Schizosaccharomyces pombe: one gene and its partners. The gene in region 3 interacts genetically with the main gene of each other region. Each region holds a gene or a part of one and is shown on either strand. Other genes may lie near its edges.

Region 1 (7,484 bases), on a different chromosome or scaffold from region 3:
CACTTCAGTTTACGCTATGAAATAAATCATTTTTCGGTTTGATCTCTTGGTAATTTAGATTCAGATTCACAAGTAATAAACAATGACTATTTATAACACTTGTGCACTACTAATGGCTAACAGGTCTATAAAACAAGGAAAGCGTAACATATTATATAACAAAATTTACGTTATCTTGATCTCTGCCTAGCAAAAGATTACTGAATGCTTTTAGCTCCTTATTTCGGTAAGCACATTATTACTATTAGCAGAAATTCACTGGTGCTTTCATTAATAAAAAATACACAAAATCATATAAAATTAATTTTACAAAAAATAAAAAACCACCAAATTGCTAAAGACATACATTGTAAACATATGAGTTATTGCAATAAGTTGGTTTCCAAATATTCCCAAAACTCTTAACGAGAGTTGGAGCGGTCAGGGTAATAGTTTTCAACTAGCAATAACGCCATCTAGGAAAAGTTCCTCACTGATAAGCGTAATACCCGTGCACAAAGATGGGGAATGGTAAACTCTTGTACATCCATTTATAGTAAAATTGAGCAGTCACAACAGGTCACAAAACCCTACCCTATTACTTTAACATAACGTTACGGAATATACGGGCTTAAATTCCCTTAGTGCACTATGAAATGATATTTTGAGTATGAGAGTTTTAAAGCGCAAAGGGGAAGATTTGCAAAACTGATATATGTATAGGTATGTATATTCATTCAATAACTATGAATTCTTGGATAATAAAGAAATCAATGCTAAAGTAATGTTGAAGCGTCAATCGTAAATACCAAGCCTTGCTTTCCAAAAAGGCTTAAATGCATAGCAATTCCATTAACAAAAGATGAATGGGTGTCGGTTCGAAATGTAAAGAATAAAAATGATAAAAAAGGAGGGAGGATGAGGTATTCTCTTTAAAAATATAGTACTTAAAAGGAGACAATTCACCTATAGTCACTCGCATGCCCAATTTTGCTTTATTATAAGGTGAGGCAATTACAAAGAAAACAATATCTTACAAAATTAAGAGGTAGGAGTAGAAGTCGATTTGAAAGTTTGAAAATCCGCTGACTCAGGATGCAACATTGCTACGTAAATTAGTAAAGAGCATAAAAAATTGAAAGCCTCTTCAGCAGCTATTTTTCTTACCTATATCTGGAACTGCTGTCTCTTCAGCTGATAACGCAAAATTTGCAGGCGATACTCTGATACAACGATCACAGAGAATAGAATAGTTCATATTTTCCATAGCTTCTTTAGCGTCTTCTGGTTCATCAAATTCTACAAACGCGTAGGAACGGTCCACAGCTAGAAAGTTAGCTAAACTTTTAAAATGTTTGAGCATTTTCATGGCATCAAAACTAGTTGTTTACCAACATGACACCAATACATGACTACTTTACCTTTTTCTTTACGATGTAATGCAACTGAGATAATCTCTCCAAACGGAATGAAAGCATTGTATAAAAGAGATTCTGTTACAGATGGAGCCAAGTTACCTAAAAAGAAAGTTAGCAAACAGATCTTTGAAAACAACAATCTTTTAAAACGAAGTATCGCCGTCATATAATATTCAACAAGTTAAATCATAACCTCAAACATTTATCGTAGATAAATGGCCATATGAGGAAGCGGTATCATGAAACTCATAGATATATCATAACAACGATGAATTCATTGATCCTTACCCACATGGACGGTTGCTTTCCTTCTTTCCATCCTCAGATCATCAAAACTAAAAAAAAAAAATAAGATGAAAAGCAAAAAGACTAAAATAATAGGGAATTAAAAAGTTCAGATTATTTCGCACATTTACTATCTCACATCCACCACCATTCAGTAAGTAGTTTCTCAAATAACGATGCAGTCTTTTTCGGTATTTAACAGAAACCTGAAATAAAGATTCCAGAGACATATGATACATGAAATGTTATAAATAAAATGAATTGTATGAAGATAGACACTTTAGAGAATGCGAGAATATTTTGCACAAGTAGCCTATGCAAAGGCGATATGCCACACTTTTCAAAAGTAGTTAAAAGAATGCAGTGTCATAAGAAAAAAGTGGAGGAGTAGAAAGAGTAATTTTAGCAACTATTCTTTATGGTAATCACTCAAGTGAATGATTGAAATGAAAAGAAGAAATTTTCCATAAAAAATTGTGCTAAGGTCTGGATAAAATGGTAATGGTAGGGATAAAATAAAACATTAAATTGGTAAGTTTGGGAACCGAGTTTACCTCCCATTTCCTGTTCCTGAATAACTACAAAACTGTTCTTAAACCATGCTATCTACCAAGTCTTGCATTGGTGCATATTCCTTGTTATCCATAAGGCTGAAATTTGTTGTTAACATCTTTAAGTAAGTAAATTGAAACACATACCCAAATTCCCTACAGAAAAATACAAAGTGTTTAAATGATGTATTCAGATAGCTTTCAAGCTCCATTGCTACCATTACGTGAAAGTGGGAACAGTAAATATGAGCATAAATGCGAAACAACCTTCGAAATATTTGCTGAATCACTTTGCGAAAATTCTTTGGGAATTCAACACCAATCTCAGTGGGGAAGAGCTTCTTGTCATCCAACTTTTCTTGAGTCCAATCCAACAGATTGTTAATATAGTCGGGAGCACTCATGCGAGTGGGTTTGGTGTATATTTTATCATCCTGCCAGTAATATTCATAACTTGGTCCAGCATTCATTTGAGGACAGGAAGCCGCCGTACAAAATTCAGTGATTGTACCATACAACATATTAATTTGTGTATAAAAATCCATTGCTAGAAGTATTCAATTAATAAAAGTTCTTGAAGTGTCAATTTTATATCTTAGCTTACTGTTCATAGCAATCCATTCATTCAAATCTTCTCCCTTGGGCAGTTTTACTGCTTCCATCAAAGAGCCAGATCCCAGCGTTGCTTCAGCATATTGCCGTAGTTGATAATGCTTCGTTCCCGCTTCAGTCTTCCTTACACGGAATGTCTTCGCTGTCTTATTACTAAATCCAAACATGAAAGAAAATGCAAAAAAGTTGGTATGAGTTGGGTTCTGGTAGGCTTGGTTTGTGCCAACCTTCCACTCATCGTCCCTTCCTCGTAAACAAACGTGGTCATTCTACCGTTCAACTTTCAAGACCATCCAGCCAACCAATATTAAGCGCAAATTAATTACTGGAATACCTATCATATTCATACGACCGTATGTTTAGGTCCGAGCACTTTTACAAATTGACAACGTACGATCGCTACTTCTTTACCCACTGCCTATAACCACTGACATTCCCTGAATTACACTTTGGTGCTAAACGTGCGGCTAAGAAATTAAAAAGAAAGCAGAGAGCTTTTAATTTTCTTTTTGGGATTTTTTTTGCTCAAATTGGTGTCTATTTAGTGTTCGTGTACGACTTTTACTGTGCGGTGAGAAACGCGAAAGGGCATCACTAAAACCGACTTTGCTAACTTTCTCTGGATTCTATTTAACAGTCTTTTATTTCTTGAGATTTGATTTAGGTTCCTTTAATTCATTTAGGTTTGACAACATGACATGCAGAATTGCGATTCGCAAGTATTCATTCATATTATGTTTGGCTGTTGGTTCAGTTACCATTTATACCTCGGAAGTTATTGGAACTCCTCTGTATTTTGTCAACAAGGAGCTTTATAACAAATATATTGCTTTTACAAAATCATTCGCCGGTATTCTGTTTACCGCTTTGGTCCAGCTTTTTAGTCCGACTCCTGTAACTCTCACCTATGATCCCGAGCTTCGAAATTTGTTTTATTTGGATAGAAATGGTTGCTTGGAAACAATTGCTGCTGAACGCAACATAGTTATCGCAAACCATCAACTTTACTCGGACTGGATGTACGTTTGGTGGTTATCGTACACTGCTAAACAGCATGGTCATGTTTATATTATGTTAAAAAACTCTCTCAAATGGTTGCCAGTTATAGGTTGGGGTATGCAATTGTTTAGATTCATTTTCCTTTCTCGCAAATGGGACAAAGACTACGAGACTATGTCTCGTCATTTCAAGTTCATTCGCAATGTACGTGATTCCGTCAGTCTCATTCTCTTCCCAGAAGGAACCAACTTGGTTGAAAGCACATATCAAAGGAGCAGGGTGTATGCCGATAAAATTGGAGTCAAAATGCCAAAGCATTTAATGCTCCCACGTGTGCGAGGGCTCTTTTATAGTATCAGTCAGCTTCGTGATTCGATGACTTATTTGTACGATTACACATTTTATTTTTCTGATCCCTCTCCTAAGAAATATGCCGCCGATGCTTTCTCTTTACCTAAGCTCTTTTTTGAAGGAGTCCCCATCAAAAGGCTTCATATTCACGTTCGTCGCTTCCCAATTTCGGAAATTCCCACTGAAGAAGATCAGTTTACGGATTGGCTTTATCAAAGATGGTATGAGAAAGATAAACTTATCGATACGCTTCTTGAAACAGGGAATTTTCCGGGCCCTAAGAAATTGCATACGACTGTTCGATTGAAGCACAGACTTGAAATTCTTTCTTTGTTTTCCGTACTTTTCACGTGCATTGTTGCTGGGTTGTTCCTCAAACTATTCATTTCTCACTAGAAAAAACTGTTATTTATACCCATTTCTTTCCATTTCCCTAAACCATATGGTTGAAAAGTTACCCATTTACACTACATAGATTAACTGATTTTCATGAACATTTTTTAACAGATTGCAAACTGGATTTTCAGTGTTAAGGAATTACCGCATACATTGCGGACGATAGTTTTATAGTCATTAGCTTTCTCTTGAGCTTTGAGATTTCGAGATAAATTATTCTGTACACTTTTTCTCCTTACAACCATCCTCTTTGCCTGTAGACGGCCTACAATCTACTGTTTCAAACTATGTCGAAGATAACATAATAACAATAAAATAAATTATGCTAAAAAAAAAATATTATAAATGTGCAAGCAAACAATCCTTTAAATCTTTAGTCCTAAAAGCAGGTATTACGAAACACTCGACCCTTACCACTACTCTAATTCTCAGATTGCAGAGTACGAGTAGGTCCTGGATTTCAGTACCAATTTTTCTCACATACTTCTTCTAAGGTTTCCAAATAATGGGTAGAGACATTTTAATTGGATTTGTTGGCAAGCCCTCCAGTGGTAAATCTACGATGCTGAATGCGTTGACAGATGCCACTGCTAAAACTGGTAATTTCCCTTTTACCACTATTGAGCCAAACCGGGCTATTGGCTATGCTCAAATAGAATGCGCGTGCTCAAGATTTGGACTACAGGACAAATGTAAACCAATTTATGGTGGTTGCAAAAATGGTGTACGTTCAATTCCTATTCAGCTGCTTGATGTAGCTGGTCTTATTCCAGGTGCGCATGCTGGAAAGGGGCTTGGCAATAAATTTTTAGACGATTTACGGCATGCCGATGCTTTGGTCCATGTGGTAGATGTCTCAGGTACTACTGATGCGGAAGGAAAAGTGTGTCGTGGATATGATCCTTCTGTAGATATCGCTTGGTTGTATAAGGAAATAACTGCATGGATCGGAAACAATCTGAGAGAGAAATGGCCTAATATAGTTCGTAGGCATATTGCTACGAAAGCCAATCCTGTCAATACACTACAATCCCAGTTTTCTGGATATGGAAGTACCCCTGCTGTTACAGCTAAAGTCTTAGATTCGCTACATTTAGATACACCTTTGGAGAAATGGGATGATGATACAATTGAAAAAGTGGTTAACAGATTCGTTGATATCAAGTTTCCTACCGTTATTGCTCTTAACAAAATTGATCATCCTGATGCGGATGCAAATATATCTAAAATAGCTAGAAAAGAAGATCCAAATCGACTCGTACTGGCTTCAGCCATATCCGAAGTTTTTCTTCGAAGATTGGCAAAACAGGGGTTTGTTAAGTACGAGGAGGGCTCTGAATTTGTTGATACGCTAGACGATTTTCCTGACTCTGGCTTGAAACCTTTGAGCGAAAATCTTAAAACCCGTATCGCAGACCTCCAAGACATGGTATTATTTCGACACGGTTCAACTGGAGTTTGTAATGTTTTAGCAAAGGCAATGGAACTTTTAAATTTGATTCCAGTTTTTCCCGTTAAAAACGTTCACAATTTTGCAAACTCTCCTAATGAAGGTGTTTTCAGAGATTGCATCTTAGTGAAGCAAGGAACGACTGCTGGACAGGTATCTCAAATGGTATTGGGTGGAGAAGCAATGTCTATTGTGGGTGTAAATGGAAACGTCGGCGAATCTGATGTTATTGTCCCAGGTAAAACGGATATCCTTCACTTTCGATTGCGGAAAGCTGAAGCTTAAGTGATTCATGAAGAAAAGTGGTAAAAGGTCGATTTTGGGAAATATTCAAAATAGTTTTGTATAGATGTTAATAAACAATACTATGTCTAAAAATTAATTTGGTTAGTTTAAAACTTCCGAAGAGCTAACTCAACAAATTACGTCTACAATGTCTGGCTGTACTTTCTCCACTATGTATTACATTGACTAAATTTTAAAACCATAGTTTAGGTACTTGTATATTTGAAATAAAGAGTCGAAATCTTGTAAACCCATGTGTAAAAAAACACGTTTGTGTGCAAAGTATCACCTCATGTAATGTAAGCCCATATCTTGCATTAGCAAAGATAAAATCGTTAATTCAGTTAAAATAAATTAATCCATAATATGATAAATTCAAGCAGAAGCTTAGGCGATAACACAACCCTTTCCATCACCAGGAGGGGAAGGATTTGCTTGTTTTTCAATTTCGCTGATAATTAGCTCGAATGCTCGAGCAACATTTTCGTTATGGCGAGCTGAAGCTTCTGTCCATGCACATTTCCATTCATTGGCCAATGCTTTTCCCTCTTCAGCGGTAACAGCACGCTGCATATGCAAGTCGCTCTTATTGCCAACAACCACAATGGGGACCCACTCAGTACCCTTAATAGCAAGTAGGTTAGTAAAAAATTTAAAAATTCTAATAATTTGACATACAGTGTGATTCAATATCTTGTCACGAACTATTTTAACCATCTCAAAAGAAGATTTGCTAGTAATGCTGTAAACGAGTACATAGCCATGGATTCCAATGGAATGCTTAGAATTTAAGATACTGTATTCATCTTGACCAGCCGTATCGATAATTTCAGTAGCAAATTCTTGACCCTTATACTTGATGTTCTTGCTGAATGTATTTTCAATAGTTGGATAATACGATTCAACGAAATGGTTTTCAACATATTGCACCGTTAAACTATTTAAAAAAAATGGTTAGTAAACCTATTTGCGCATAAACTTCAATCAAACGCTTACCTGGACTTTCCAACAGAACGACTGCCAAGAACAGCAATTCTACGAGATTTAATAGGAGCCATTGTTTAAATTAGAAAATTTCAAGATTATAATATTTAAAAAGGCAAATTATTAACTATAGAGTGATCGTAAAAAAAAGTGAGTGAAAGCAACGATGTTGTG
Region 2 (4,824 bases), 1.8 Mb from region 3:
ATTTGAGAAGGGGACATACCCTTCTTGGAGAACTTAAGAATTTGCTCGACAACGGAGTCGGCATCAGCCTTGCACCAAGCAGGGGGAGAGCGAACGTAGGGTAAAGCGGAAGAAGCGATACCCTTTCCTTTGCTATGCATACGACCCATTTTGATTTAATTTGTTTGGTTAAGGTGCAACTTTGAGTGAGAGGTGTGTGCTGAAGAAATAAAATTCTAGGTTGTGTTTCAAACACATAGAAAGCGTGACTGCTCGTTGTTATTAAAACCCTACCCTAGTATTATGTTAGTCGGTCAATCAGAACACCAGCTTCAGAATCCCACGCATGGCGAGCTAACAAGTTATACAGTTCTGGCGGTAATTTCGAAATAAGGAGAATGGTAATTTTCATTATATTTTTTGCATTTAAAGGAGGAAACGTTCGTAATAGGGTCATGGGGCTTTATCGTTAGCATGCGTTATTTATTTATTTTTTTTAATTTGAGAAAGGATGAGAAAGAAGAGACATATGATGAACCCAAATGAAAGTAAAGTTTAAAAAAAAAAAAAAAAAAAAAATTGTTCCATAATTTTCTCCTCTTTTGTAAATCCTTCATTATAATGAAAGGGTGATGAGAAAATACTTACCTTGGATGATCGATGAGCTGCTCTCGGAAAATAAACATTTGTGCAATCACACATAGGATATTAAGGTGTATTCCATAAGCAAACAAAAAATCCCATATGGTAAGAGCTTCGGATAATGGGGCAGTACAAGCACTCAAAGTAAGTATAGCTATATGTGAAAAGTAAAGTTAATACCTATTAATTCTTTTCACAAAACGACAAATAAATTCGCTATTCACTTACATGGTAAAGCGTAAATTTTTGCGGTAAGCCCTTTGGATAAAAGATACGTGTACAAACGATGGTCAAGGACTTCAAGGCATTTATCCAATAACTGTAATTGAGTTAGTAAATTGACAATAATAGATTAATAAATAGGAGCATTAAAACAATAAATAAACAGTTACTTACCTTTGCGCCGCGATGAACACCATCAATGTTTGGGAGGACATATAGAGGGCATTCATTTTGTAGCAGACGGTCAAAGAACTGAAAAGCTTGGTTTTCGCTTTTACAAGCATACAAAAAAGGTGATGCTAACACATTCATACCTTGAACATATAAAGCACCTCGTTTCCAGACATAAGCATTTAATAAACGTGAAAGAGACGATTGAGACACACGAGAATGAAACTGAGATTCTACGACCAGGGTTCTTGAAACATCATTTTGAATCTTTTGTGCCATAGGAGACGGTCCTTGGCGAACATATCGTATGTATTCGTCAGCGTTCCGTGGGGGGGCATTCAAAAGAACTGCCCAAACATATGGCCTGGTGCTTGAATTCCCACCTTCATCCGACTCAACTTGATCAAGCATGACCATGTAACGAAGCCTAGAGATACATTTCGATTGGTTTTCTGGTGATTTGGGCGCTAACTTTTGAAGTCGCTTGCAGTCAATACTCGGCATCCTTAGAAACCAGCCTATACAATTTGAAGAAAACTAAAATGAGGACCAGTATGAATTCAAAACATAAATATAAGCAAAAATGAATTAATAAAATGCAATTGAATGGAAAATAAGAGGATAATGAGGAAACAGTGAAGGTTGGTTTACAACGAAGATACAACTGTAAGTAGGTATAGTACACTATTGGCCTTTCAATAGGTTGATGGCTTTAATAATTTACAAAGCTGACTCATTTAGAAATAGCTTTCGAAATTTTTATTAATCTTGTTTTAATATAGAACATTACAGTTTGACTTTCAAAATTCTACATATTTATGCCAGCAATTAGAGAGTTAGTTGTCTTAGTCCTTACAGTGCCAGAAGATTTCCACCAGCAAAGATTTTTATTATTTTCGGTTTTCAATTAGTATTATAAAATAAAAACTGTAGCTATCTTGAGAAGAAAAAAATTAGAAAGATTGTTATTACAGTGCTGAACATCTAACCAGTAAACAGAATGCCTGTCAATTGAGACGAGCTCTTTGATTATATTATCTTTTTTTTTTAAAAAAATACATAATACTAAGTATCTCTCTAATCGTCCTTGAGGAAGCATCATTGTACTTTGTAAATGTTCGATTAAACGTCGTGATATCCGTTATCATATTTATATAGAATTTCGATACTGCATGTAATAAAAAACACTTCTGAACCGATTAATGCAAAATTCAGATTTGCTCAATAGTTATTAAGCCTATTCTGTTTTTAGCCTTGCATAATGACCGTAGTCAGTAAAAAGAAATATAAATTTACTTTAACAATAAAATATATTTAAACTATTATGTGTCTTGTTAACTCTTAAGATCTCGGAATTCGTTGGTTCATCGATTGATACTTGGTCACTACTACCAACAATACTAGATCGTCGCGCAACTGACTGCTTATGGTTTGCGAGCCATTAGAAAGTTACTATAACAGTGCTACATTATTTACAAATAATAAAAGTTTTTGATTGCTTCAAGCCGATCATTTTTTATTTTGTTCATCAAATTTGTACATTCTCTAAATTAAAAGTGAAAATGTCGACTCCCAATTCGACGCCTAGCGAGCCAGTACGTTGCATTAAAAGATAATATTTATTTATTTTGTTTACTAATAATTCTAAAACTTAACAGCCCGTGAATGTTTCCTATTATGAACAGTGCAAAAAGGAGCTTCATGAAATGATTGAAAAGCGACAATTGTTGGAAACTTCGTTAATAGGTCTCGAGGACTCTATCTATAGGCTGGAAGGCAGTTACTTAGAAAAAACATCGGGTACTGGCAACATTATTCGTGGATTCGAAGGTCTTTTAAAAAACAATGCATCAAACCTCCGCCGTCGTGCAGACTATTCGGAATCAGACAGACTGTTTTCTCTTTCTTCCCTGTCGAGTCCCCATACACGTAGTCCAGCTTATGACCTCGACGACTCGACAGAAACTAGTCGAAGAAGAAAACGAAAAAATGAATCTGATAGTCACGAAGGAAGAAGACGTTCTTCTTTTCGAGAACTATAATGTTACTCAGAAAACGGATATAAAGAATATACTTTAAATTTTATGAGGAAGTTCCTTTTTCGGAGCTTTTACAAATCAATTTGCGATTATTTTCTCCTTCTTCTAAGTATTTTGCAATAGCGCTACAAAATTACGGCTTAACTAGCTATTCAAAGTTTGTCCTTTAGAACAGTTACTATTTATGACTTGTATAATACAATTTTCATTTTCAAAAAATAAGCATCTCTTATGTAACGTGTGTATCTACAATCAAAGATTGATATTCCTGTATTTTGCGCTAGCATCATTTAATCAACCCAGCTTTGAATAGAAAAAAAGGGTGAGAAACAATTCACGTTTGTTACGAGGAGAGGGAAGCATGAAGCATATATAAAGATCATAACTACGTATGAAGATACGATGAAAGAAAGGATCAACATGGGACGGAACATTAAGCACGAACAAATGACCTACCAGTAGCTGTCTTTCTCTCCAATTCCACATCGGGCTTGGCCCGGTTCAAAACCTTTTGGAAGTCAGCAACACGCTTACGCATACGTTGGTGCATGTAAGCCTTGGAAGCCTTAATGTGAAAGTGTAGGGTGTTGCGGAAAACCTGGATATGAGATATGCAATCTTCACGATTTTGAGGTGTAAAATGACGCTCAAATAAAACGAATGTTACAAATCCAAAGTCATCACCCTTTTGAATACCCTGAATATCACGAATCTCCAAAGGTGGATCTCTATAGGAAAAGAGCACTTGAGGAGCGGTTTGAATAGCCGGACGGCGACGGGCATCAACGAATTCCTGCAAGAATACCTTGCCAAAGATGCGATCAGTCTCTTCACGGAATTTCGTTGAAAAGACGACTGTAACGCGATCATGCTCAGGCCATAAAACAATAGTTTCTTCATCACGATAATGAATTGCCATGAGCTCCTGAGAAGTGGCTTGCTTGTCAAGCATAGGGGCATTTTCCGGGTCTTTACGAGCCAAATCAGCTAGTTCGGCTTGTTTGGTGAATGCACGGTGGAAGGGAGCAGCTAAAACGTTTCTTTTTAACATAGAAATAGACATAGCTAATTGTTCTTTTTCCTCATCGGTAGCGGGAAGTTGTTGTAAGTCTATAAGAATACTGAAGTTGTATCCCATTTCAGGTTCATGCACATAAGCACCGTAAATCTGTTTCAGTAAATCCAGAGTACCGTAATTAACAAGCTCAGGATAGCATTTCATAGACAGACTGATCAAGATTTTCGTCTTTTCCTCAGGAGTTGAAATGTGGAACGTGACGCCATCAAAATCAGTTACCACTTGATCAATCGACGACGGGTTTTCGCTATAAATTAGTGAAATTCTTTATTGTTTGTTTCACATACCTTGAAAACCTTTCTGTCAGTAACTCGTAAATGAATATATTGTTATAATCTAATGAGAGCATGGTTGATGGTTAACGTGTGACGGACCCGGGAATTCTTATTACTCAGGTTCATATAGTGTTATAAATCCTTATACTGAGGCATCTGCAAACATGTAAGAAAACAACAGATCATATTAAAACCATGAACTCAATATATATTTTTAAAGAACTAACAATCTTTTTGTTCTCATTCTTTGTTCTAGATTACCTTTTGCTTCTTAGGTAAACTTCTACTATTTTACCGTCTATGGATATACTGAATATTTTATCTAAAATGTTAGAAATTAAAAAAAAAAAAAAAAAATTAATCAGTATATTAGGAGTTCTGAATCTAATTACTTTATCTAATTCGAAGTGTACCAATA
Region 3 (8,204 bases):
AGAATGCGCAATTTGTTGCTAGTGTGTATAAGTATGCGAAGCGTGCTCCCGTCACCCATAAATTAGGAGCTTTGTATATTCTAGACTCAATCGTTCGTAGCTTTCAGGACGGTGCTAAAAAGAATAATGAATCTTTTGAAAATCCCGTTGATGCGTCTTTTAGTGGCGGCTGGTGCAAAGCTGCTGAAATAACTGATAGTTTGGTCGCAGATGCTATACAGCATGCGCCATCTGCTCATTTGGTATGTGTAGCTGAAGTTTTTCAAGGTTGACTACGGATAAGATCCCGTATGGATAATCGTATGCTCTCTCTGCTTCTGTATCAGCGAGACACTGTATGAGAGAGGTATTTTTTCCTTGTAATACAGTATCATTCTCTTTGAGAAGTCTTTTAACATTATTGGACTAATTTGTAACTAACTAAGCATGTAGCCTAAAATATTAAAGCTTTGTGATATTTGGGAGAAGGCTTCAACATTTCCTCCCGAGAAGCTAGAATCGCTTCGTTCAAAGCTGAAAGATGCAATGGCAAGTACGGAACCGGTTAGTGTAGATTCTGCTGCTGCTCCATCACAGTCTACTAATCCCGAGGGGAATGGTGGTTCTGTTGGTAGTCAAGCAGCCGCCCCCACTTCTCGTCCTGTCGAAAACGATGCTGCTTCTATTCTAGAGGCATTGGCTGCTTTCGCTCAAAAGGCGCCCGTCCCTAGTGCTGCCGAAGAATCAGTTAGCACTCCACCGCAGCCTGCCGTCGCACCATCCGTTTCTGCTGTCGTCCCTAACCTACCTGTTCATCCAGCTACCGCCATTAATGCACAGTCTCAGTCAGGCAATCCATTATCAAACCCTCTATTCCAACCTTCAAATGTACCACAGTCTATTCCCTCTGGTCCCATGGGGATGAAGACAGGATCGGTCAATGATACCCAGAGTCAACAGATCACTCTCATGAATGTATTGGCTTCTCAGAATGTACCACCTGCACAAATCGATAGCATCATGAAAGCTGCTTTTCCCAACTATAACGCTCCATTCCAGCCGGCTGGTGTCGGCAGTGTTCCTTTGCCAGCTCCTACCTCTTCCCAATCCTTAAGACTCGGCTCCTTACATCGTTCTCGTAGCCCTAGTCCTCGTAGTGGTCGCCCTCGTCGTAGCCCTAGTCCTTCTCATTTATCCATTCCTTCTACTTTGCCTCCTGCAGATGGTGTGCCAAAACCTACCCCTGATGGATTTCCTCGCCGATTTGAGCGTGACCCAACCATTCCACCTGATTCTATTAAGGTATACAGCCGTACTCTTTTCCTTGGTGGTATTACTCGTTCTGTGCGAGAACCTGTTCTTCGATCTATGTTTGAACGATTTGGGTCTGTACAAAGTTTAATTTTAAATCATAATTACAGACACGGGTTCTTGAAAATGTTTCGTCGTGATGCTGCAGAGAAAGCTCAAGTAGCGATGGAAAATGTCCCTTTTGCTGATACTACTATTCGTACTAAATGGGGTGTAGGATTTGGACCTCGAGAGTGCTCTGACTTTTCCACAGGAATCAGCGTTATCCCAATCCGTTTGTTGACGGATGCCGATCGTACCTGGCTTGTAACTGCAGAATATGGCGGCACGGGTGGCCTTCCGATTACTCCTGGTATCGCTTTGGATGAACCTGATATTGAAATTGGATTAGGAATAAGTTCTAAGGCAATTAGTAAAAGAGGAAAAGATTTTGCTATGCGTCGTGATGAGCGATTCCGGGGTCGTAAACCATATAGGGGAGGTCCACCCATTCACCATGGTGAAAGGCATTTTGATTCAGGAAATGACTGGCATGGTAATCCTAGTACCGTTCCTCCCCCTACCAACCCATATAATCCCGGCTATCCATATATGGATCCTAATTACTCTTCTGGGTATGTCTCACAACCTCCTTGGCAACCCCAATAATGTGTTAAAAGACGCTTACAAGTATTATAATGATGGCAAAAATGGTTTCTATATTACAGACGGTATTTAAGGGTATAATGTATTCGGTCCAAATTTAATTGATTATTTTCTTTGTATTGTCTTGTTCAAACAATCTAGTTTGTCTGGGTGTCACATTAGTATTACATTTGTATCATTGTTGTACATCTTATACATCTATTTGCAAACAAAATGAAAAATCTTCGAAGTGTATTAAGCTATGTACAAAAAGATCAAATCTGCGATAAACAAAAGCATTCGTATAATTATATATAAACATTCGCAAGGTAAAGACAAAACCTTGTTTATTGTTCGGCATTAAGTATATTATAAAGCTCCCATAGTCGTGACCTGTCATCGTTTTTAAATGAAAAAAACCAGCCATCAATTCTCTTTCGCCATTGAATATCTTCGCTAAATTGCTTTTTTTCAAACTCTGGGCCGACATCGTATATTTCACTCATATCTGGAAAATTGATTATTGAGTTTATGCTACCATTAAAGCTACCTGAATTTTCGTTCAAGTACTGCGAGGTGGAGTCTGTATCCTCAAGATCATCAAACCCGCTAAAGGGATCTTCCGCTTCTTGACCAGAAATCGAATTATCAATCCATCGTAACCTTGTAGGGTCATATACCATATTTCCGACAACCTGGATTCCTTTTTTTGTAGAAATGTTGGAAATTAATGCTGGACGGCTAGGCGAGATAGGGGTATCAAAATCTCTAATTGCATAATCGTTTCCTTCCCAGCAATGTTTTGTGGGATTATATCGCATTTTTCCAACAATTTTTGGGGTTCTAGGGGAATTTAAATTTTGTATTAAAGTAGGTGCCTTTTTATGGTGTCTGCGTTTTTCTTTGACGCTCAATTGATCATTGGAAAGCGATTCTTTTGTTAACTCTTTAGAAGGGGCGGCATGAGTTTTGTGTTGCCTTTGAGACCGAATATGCTCATTTTTTGCTGAATTAGTTATATTATTTAAATTATTCTCATGTTTCGAAGTAGATCTAGGGGTAGTATGTGAATGCCATTCTTGAGTTGAACCTGCGTGTTTACTTTTAGGCGTTCCGGAAACTTTGGTAGTTTGCTTTTTTCTCAATTTAAGCTCAAATTCATAATCAACTGGTAATTCATCTAAAGTATCAAGTTCTGTACCATCTCCGTAAGTCTTGCAATTTTTAGGCTTTGTTCTGTATTTAGAATTACTTGCAACTGTCTTCAAAGCGTCCAAATCCATCAAACCCATCGAATTTTTCGAATGATAGATCTTCAAATTCGAGGGAGTCCATGTGGAGCTTATAGAAGAATTTCCCTTCACGGGAGAAGAATGTTTACTCGAAGCCTTCAACGTTTCTGGATAATGAGAAGACGTATCCCTTTTCGAAAGTGTTTTCGAAGAATACTTTAGGTTTGGGTTATCAGAATGAGGGTTTTCATTAGCGAGTGAAGGAAATATGTCTTTACAAAGGGGATAATATTTTGCATCCTGATGCACATTAGGTTGATAAGAAATTGTGGAGGAAATATAAGGATGCTTTTGGTTGATGGTATTTGGAGATCGAATCTTTTTCCGAAAGATCGATTCTGTTTCGTTATTAAAGTCAATATCAAAATCATCCCAAAAGCCGTCGTCATTATGCGCAGAGGAAGGCGTACGAAGCGAAGACTGTTCTACGCTGGAAAAGGAAGCTTTTGGATCCATCCTATTTTGTTTTCTGTGCAAAATACTGTTTAGGTCGGTATCTGGGTCTATTTCAAAATCATCTTCAAATGAAGAAAAGCCTTCCGATTCACAATAAGGGGAGTCCGAAACACTGGGATACCGAGCATCATTTTCACTTGAAAGATATGTTTTCTTAAGAGTATCACTAGAGAATGGAATTGGAGGTCTTTGAGAAGCAGTTTCAGATGCTCTAATAGTATTGAATTCATCAACATCGGCATCTTGGTATTTATTGGGACGAAGTGTATTAAACTCATTATTACCTTCTTCACCTTCTTCATCGAACGAAAAATCATCTTCATAGCCTTCTACATTGGAAGAAATTCGGTTCTTGTTGGAAGACAGTTCATGGTTTAAATTATGTACTTGTTGATTCCATTGTTCGACACGAGAATGAGCGCTTGGTACATCAGAAATTGAAAGGCTATTAAGACGACTAATAGAGTCGTCAAACGAGAACCCATCATCCACACTCGTACTAGCACTAGTGGTAGCTATGGATTGAGTAAATAGGCTAGCATTATCGACGTCGGAAGCAAAATCAGGATCATCGTCCCAGCATTCAACTTCAGTCATTCAATCAAAATAAACGTATACTAAAACGGCTTTGCTAAGAAAAGAAATTGGATGCAAAACGCATAGAATGATTACTAACCGTATTCACCCAAAACTGAAAACCCTAAATTTGATTTTCAAAGAAAAAGAAAGTGAGAGAGAAAAAGGATGGTCACTAATTTTGCAAAGAAGTAACCACTGTAAATATTTACGCTTTCAAACCCAGCTTCGAGAAGTAATAAGTTATGAACAGCAATTCAAAAGGACTTCAGGAATATGATTATGATGATGCTTTCAGAGATACAATGAAATTTTGTTTTGTATAGAAAGCAAAAAAAAGAATTTAACTTATTTCAATGACAAAATCAAGGAATCTGGGTTAGCGGTATATTGTTGAAAGAGACGGAGGTTGAGCTAGAGGTATAAGTGTAAACACCAACTTGATCAATTTACGTACTTTGGTTTCAGTACTTTACGAGAAATCAATTTTTAATAAGGTGAAAAATAAAGCATCTACTATTTGCTTGTGTAAACCTAAAAAAAAAATAGTTTTTTTTGGTATCTTTCAGTCATATTTATTTTTGCTAGATTAATCATAGTAAAATACTTAACCATATGTGATTGCCAAAATGCATAGCTGCACCTCACCTTAAAAAAATCTAGGTAATCTAATTAGCATGCAACTACGAGTTAATGTTTTTTAAAAAGTAGATAAATTACAACGAAGGTTAGTAGGTGAAGCAATAAATAGTATGTTTAATCGTCACTCGTATTAGCAAATTCATTCGTCTTAGAATTTTATTTTCCTCCACGAAAATATATATATTTTTCTTTGAACGTTTAAATTATTATAAACAATTGCTTTCTCTGAAATTTATGCCCATTTACAATTTAATTCTGTTTATGGAATCTACATATTCGTTCAAGTATATATGAAATACATTTTAAGGAATCTTTTTTTATTAGATTCTTCGTATAATTTCTAAAATACATACTATTTTCATATACGAGTTTAGATAAATTACAAAAAAAAAAAAAAAAAAAAACGATTAAACTATAGGTTAAAAAGTAAATCTATTAGTTTATAACAAAAGAAACGTCTTTGTTTTATTTTAGTTTATTTTTTTACATCTAAAAAGTTATTGAAATCAACAATGGTAAAGTTGAACAAATTAACTCTTCAATTCATAGGTATGAGAAACCGTTCTTCATTAGTAAATCCAAGTATGAAACATAATCATGTTTTTACCCCTATGCGATCGCGCTATTCATATTTTTCCTAAATTATTTTTAGCATCAATTCTGTCTATAGTTTCATATAATTTCAGTGATTTAATCATGTAATTATTCATGTAAAGTTCATAAAAAATATAGGTTGATGATCTTATTAATGTTTGTACTTAAGAAATGGTAAATCGAACAAGTTGAAAAAGTAAGCATGGCATCTGTCTTATACTCTTGTGCTTTTCTGTAAACCAAGCAGTTAAAAACATTATTGCTTGCTAGTAGCGAAGCAACTTACAAACATTTCTCATAGACGAGAAGTAACTCCATTTTTCAGATAGTCTAATAATAAGTCAAAGAAAAGGATGTTTAACATCATCCTAATCAAATTCATATAAAACTAATAATTGTTTTCCATCGAAGGAATCTATATATCGCACTACAAGGTGCAGTAACGAAACACTCAGATCGTGGAATCCGGATTGTGTTCTTAACCTTACGAGAAAAACGAGCCATTACGGTCGTGACTGTCCAGAAATCGTTCGATTTTTAAATATCTGAATTTAGTCTATTTTTTGATATAAATCCCCCTAATCCCATTCGCTGCTGGCACAGTGTTTTTGTGAAAACAAAACAACCAAGTTGTAAATTTAATTCGCAAGTTGAACAGTGTTTTGATTCTTCACTTGTGTTAATACCAATTCATCCAATCGGTTGTATCATATCTTAAATACCATTTTGGTTACTTTTTTTTTTGGACATTTTGAGCAAATCCGTAAAGTAAATAAAAAGATGTCTGACATTACCGTTGAGCCTATTGGCAAGCAGATGGAGAAGCTTATTCTCGATGTTCAGCAAGAAATTGTTGCTGGTCTCGAAGCTGTCGATGGACAAAAATTCTTCCAAGACAAGTGGACCAAGGGAGAAGGTGGTTATGGTATCAGTTGTGTTATTCAAGATGGCAACGTTTTTGAAAAGGGTGGTGTCAACACAAGTATTGTTCAAGGAAAATTGAATCAAGACGCTGTCCAAAGAATGCGTGCTAATCATGAAGGTATTGATCGTACTGCCAAAGAGCTTCCATTCTTTGCTGCTGGTATCAGTATGGTTATTCACCCTCGCAACCCCATGGCCCCTACTACTCACTTGAACTATCGTTACTTTGAACTTGTAAACAGTGATGGTAAGAAGATTTGGTGGTTTGGTGGTGGAGCCGATTTGACTCCTAGCATTCTCTTTGAAGAAGATGGCAAGCATTTCCACAAATTGCATAAAGAAGCTTGCGATCGCCATGACCCCACTTTCTATCCTCGCTTCAAGAAATGGGCTGATGAATACTTCCTCATCAAGCACAGAAAGGAGACTCGTGGCATTGGCGGTATTTTCTTTGATGATCTTTCTGAGAAAGATCCTCAAGAGTTATTTGCTTTCGTCAAGGATTGTGCCCATACCTTCCTTCCTGCCTATGTCCCTATTATGGAAAAGAGAAAGAACATGGAATTCACTGAAGATGATAAGGAATTCCAACTCATTCGTCGTGGATACTATGCCGAGTTTAACGTTATGTATGACAGAGGTACTTGGTTTGGTCTTCAAGCTCCTGAACCCCGTGTTGAATCTATTCTTATGACCCTTCCATTACATGCTTCCTGGCGTTACAAGTATGAGCCTAAACAAGAGCGTCACAAGGCTCTCCTTAAAGTAACGCATACCCCTATTGAATGGTGCTAGAAAGATTCACAAAAATGACTTTTACTTCAGCATTTAATGAACATCACAATTTTTGGTAATAGCTTTATTCTTTCGTTTGTTTTTAAACTATGCCATGTTACACTAACTCATGTTAAATTTTCTATCATGCCTTTTTTGCTCTTCATTATTTGGAATTCTTAACTGTTTGAATTTGCGATTTTGAATCCCTTTTCTAAGCTAATGAAACAATATTTTACCCTTTAAAAATCCGTATCTTTTATTGAGTAGTGTTTTATAAAGAGTTTTAAAGTAAAGTACAGTACCTATTTGGCTTGAGATCTAATTTCACAATATAAATTTCAACTGATCTGCACTTTCATTAACTTAATTTCAATGTATTTTTCTTTAAAATAATACGAATAAAAAAAAAGAAGATGAAGGTAAAATGTGTGTGTCTTGTCTTTATGATAAAACGACGTCGATCCCCAACGGATTGAGATAGACAAGTCATAAAACGTTAGCATCGGTACAAATTTTACAGTCGCTCTTTTCTTTCATTTGTATCTAATTCCCTTTTACACTCAAATACAGTGGGCCGATTGGGATCTGCTGATAAAGTGCAAATGAACCTGTTGGTTAATATCAAACTCACAGTAAGTGTATATAGGATAATAATCTAACAATCTCCCATCTTACGTACCCTAAAGATTGCATAGTAGCAAACAATTTTGTCTCCGCTGCAGCCAATTCAATGCAGGAGATATCCCCTGACTCCGTTTGTTGGCAAACTCGTTCAGTTTGATTGTTTAGACTTTCAAAGAAGACCTTCTGTTCTTTGGTTGAATCCTTCAAAAATTCTTGTACTTTTTCTTCCATTATGCTCTTTCAGAGGAAGATTCAGTCGTACTGCTATATCTAATAAGTTGAAGTCAGGCTAACGCTGTTTAAGAGCTGCATGTCATGAGTATTGCTGAGTAACTTTAACACGCTTGTAGACAGATATCAAAACTCACAAATGGCCCGTAGTTTAGCAACAACATCAAATGTTGT

Evidence for each region.
Region 1: of byr4 (region 3) and mob1, a mutation in one rescues a mutant of the other (synthetic rescue), as found in Schizosaccharomyces pombe (2 studies listed by BioGRID).
Region 2: of byr4 (region 3) and cdc16, extra expression of one rescues a mutant of the other (dosage rescue), as found in Schizosaccharomyces pombe (5 studies listed by BioGRID, with this or other methods).

What each region holds. Positions count from the first base shown.
Region 1 is NC_003423.3:467,114-474,597, forward strand, and holds mob1 (Sid2-Mob1 kinase complex regulatory subunit Mob1), read right to left. Parts: upstream 3,051-7,484; 5' UTR 3,013-3,050; coding exon 2,838-3,012; intron 2,781-2,837; coding exon 2,381-2,780; intron 2,333-2,380; coding exon 2,275-2,332; downstream 1-2,274. Other genes in the region: SPOM_SPBC428.12C (peptidyl-prolyl cis-trans isomerase E), read right to left, coding at 1,021-1,085, 1,147-1,305, 1,401-1,496, 1,686-1,716; mlg1 (1-acylglycerol-3-phosphate acyltransferase), read left to right, coding at 3,539-4,591; SPOM_SPBC428.15 (Obg-like ATPase), read left to right, coding at 5,097-6,326; Rheb GTPase Rhb1, read right to left, coding at 6,714-6,950, 7,005-7,263, 7,323-7,384. UniProt on the Schizosaccharomyces pombe protein: Has a role in promoting the onset of septum formation during the latter stages of mitosis.
Region 2 is NC_003424.3:2,746,492-2,751,315, forward strand, and holds cdc16 (two-component GAP Cdc16), read right to left. Parts: upstream 1,666-4,824; 5' UTR 1,519-1,665; coding exon 1,018-1,518; exon of another isoform or gene 941-1,017; coding exon 850-940; exon of another isoform or gene 776-849; coding exon 628-775; exon of another isoform or gene 441-627; coding exon 281-440; 3' UTR 176-280; downstream 1-175. Other genes in the region: rps13 (40S ribosomal protein uS15), read right to left, coding at 1-149; NuA4 histone acetyltransferase complex subunit Eaf6, read left to right, coding at 2,577-2,609, 2,673-3,056; arc2 (ARP2/3 actin-organizing complex subunit Arc34), read right to left, coding at 3,487-4,378, 4,419-4,480. UniProt on the Schizosaccharomyces pombe protein: Has a dual role in the cell cycle. In mitosis, it is involved in maintenance of cdc2 kinase activity. It is subsequently required for regulation of septum formation.
Region 3 is NC_003424.3:960,176-968,379, forward strand, and holds byr4 (two-component GAP Byr4), read right to left. Parts: upstream 4,634-8,204; 5' UTR 4,260-4,633; coding exon 2,262-4,259; 3' UTR 2,139-2,261; downstream 1-2,138. Other genes in the region: poly(A)site selection protein Seb1, read left to right, coding at 1-242, 433-1,938; hem13 (coproporphyrinogen III oxidase), read left to right, coding at 6,255-7,193; SPOM_SPAC222.17 (uncharacterized protein), read right to left, coding at 7,690-7,783, 7,855-8,030. UniProt on the Schizosaccharomyces pombe protein: Has an essential role in ensuring cytokinesis and septation occur only once during mitosis. It does so by interacting with the ras1 signaling pathways, thereby suppressing them.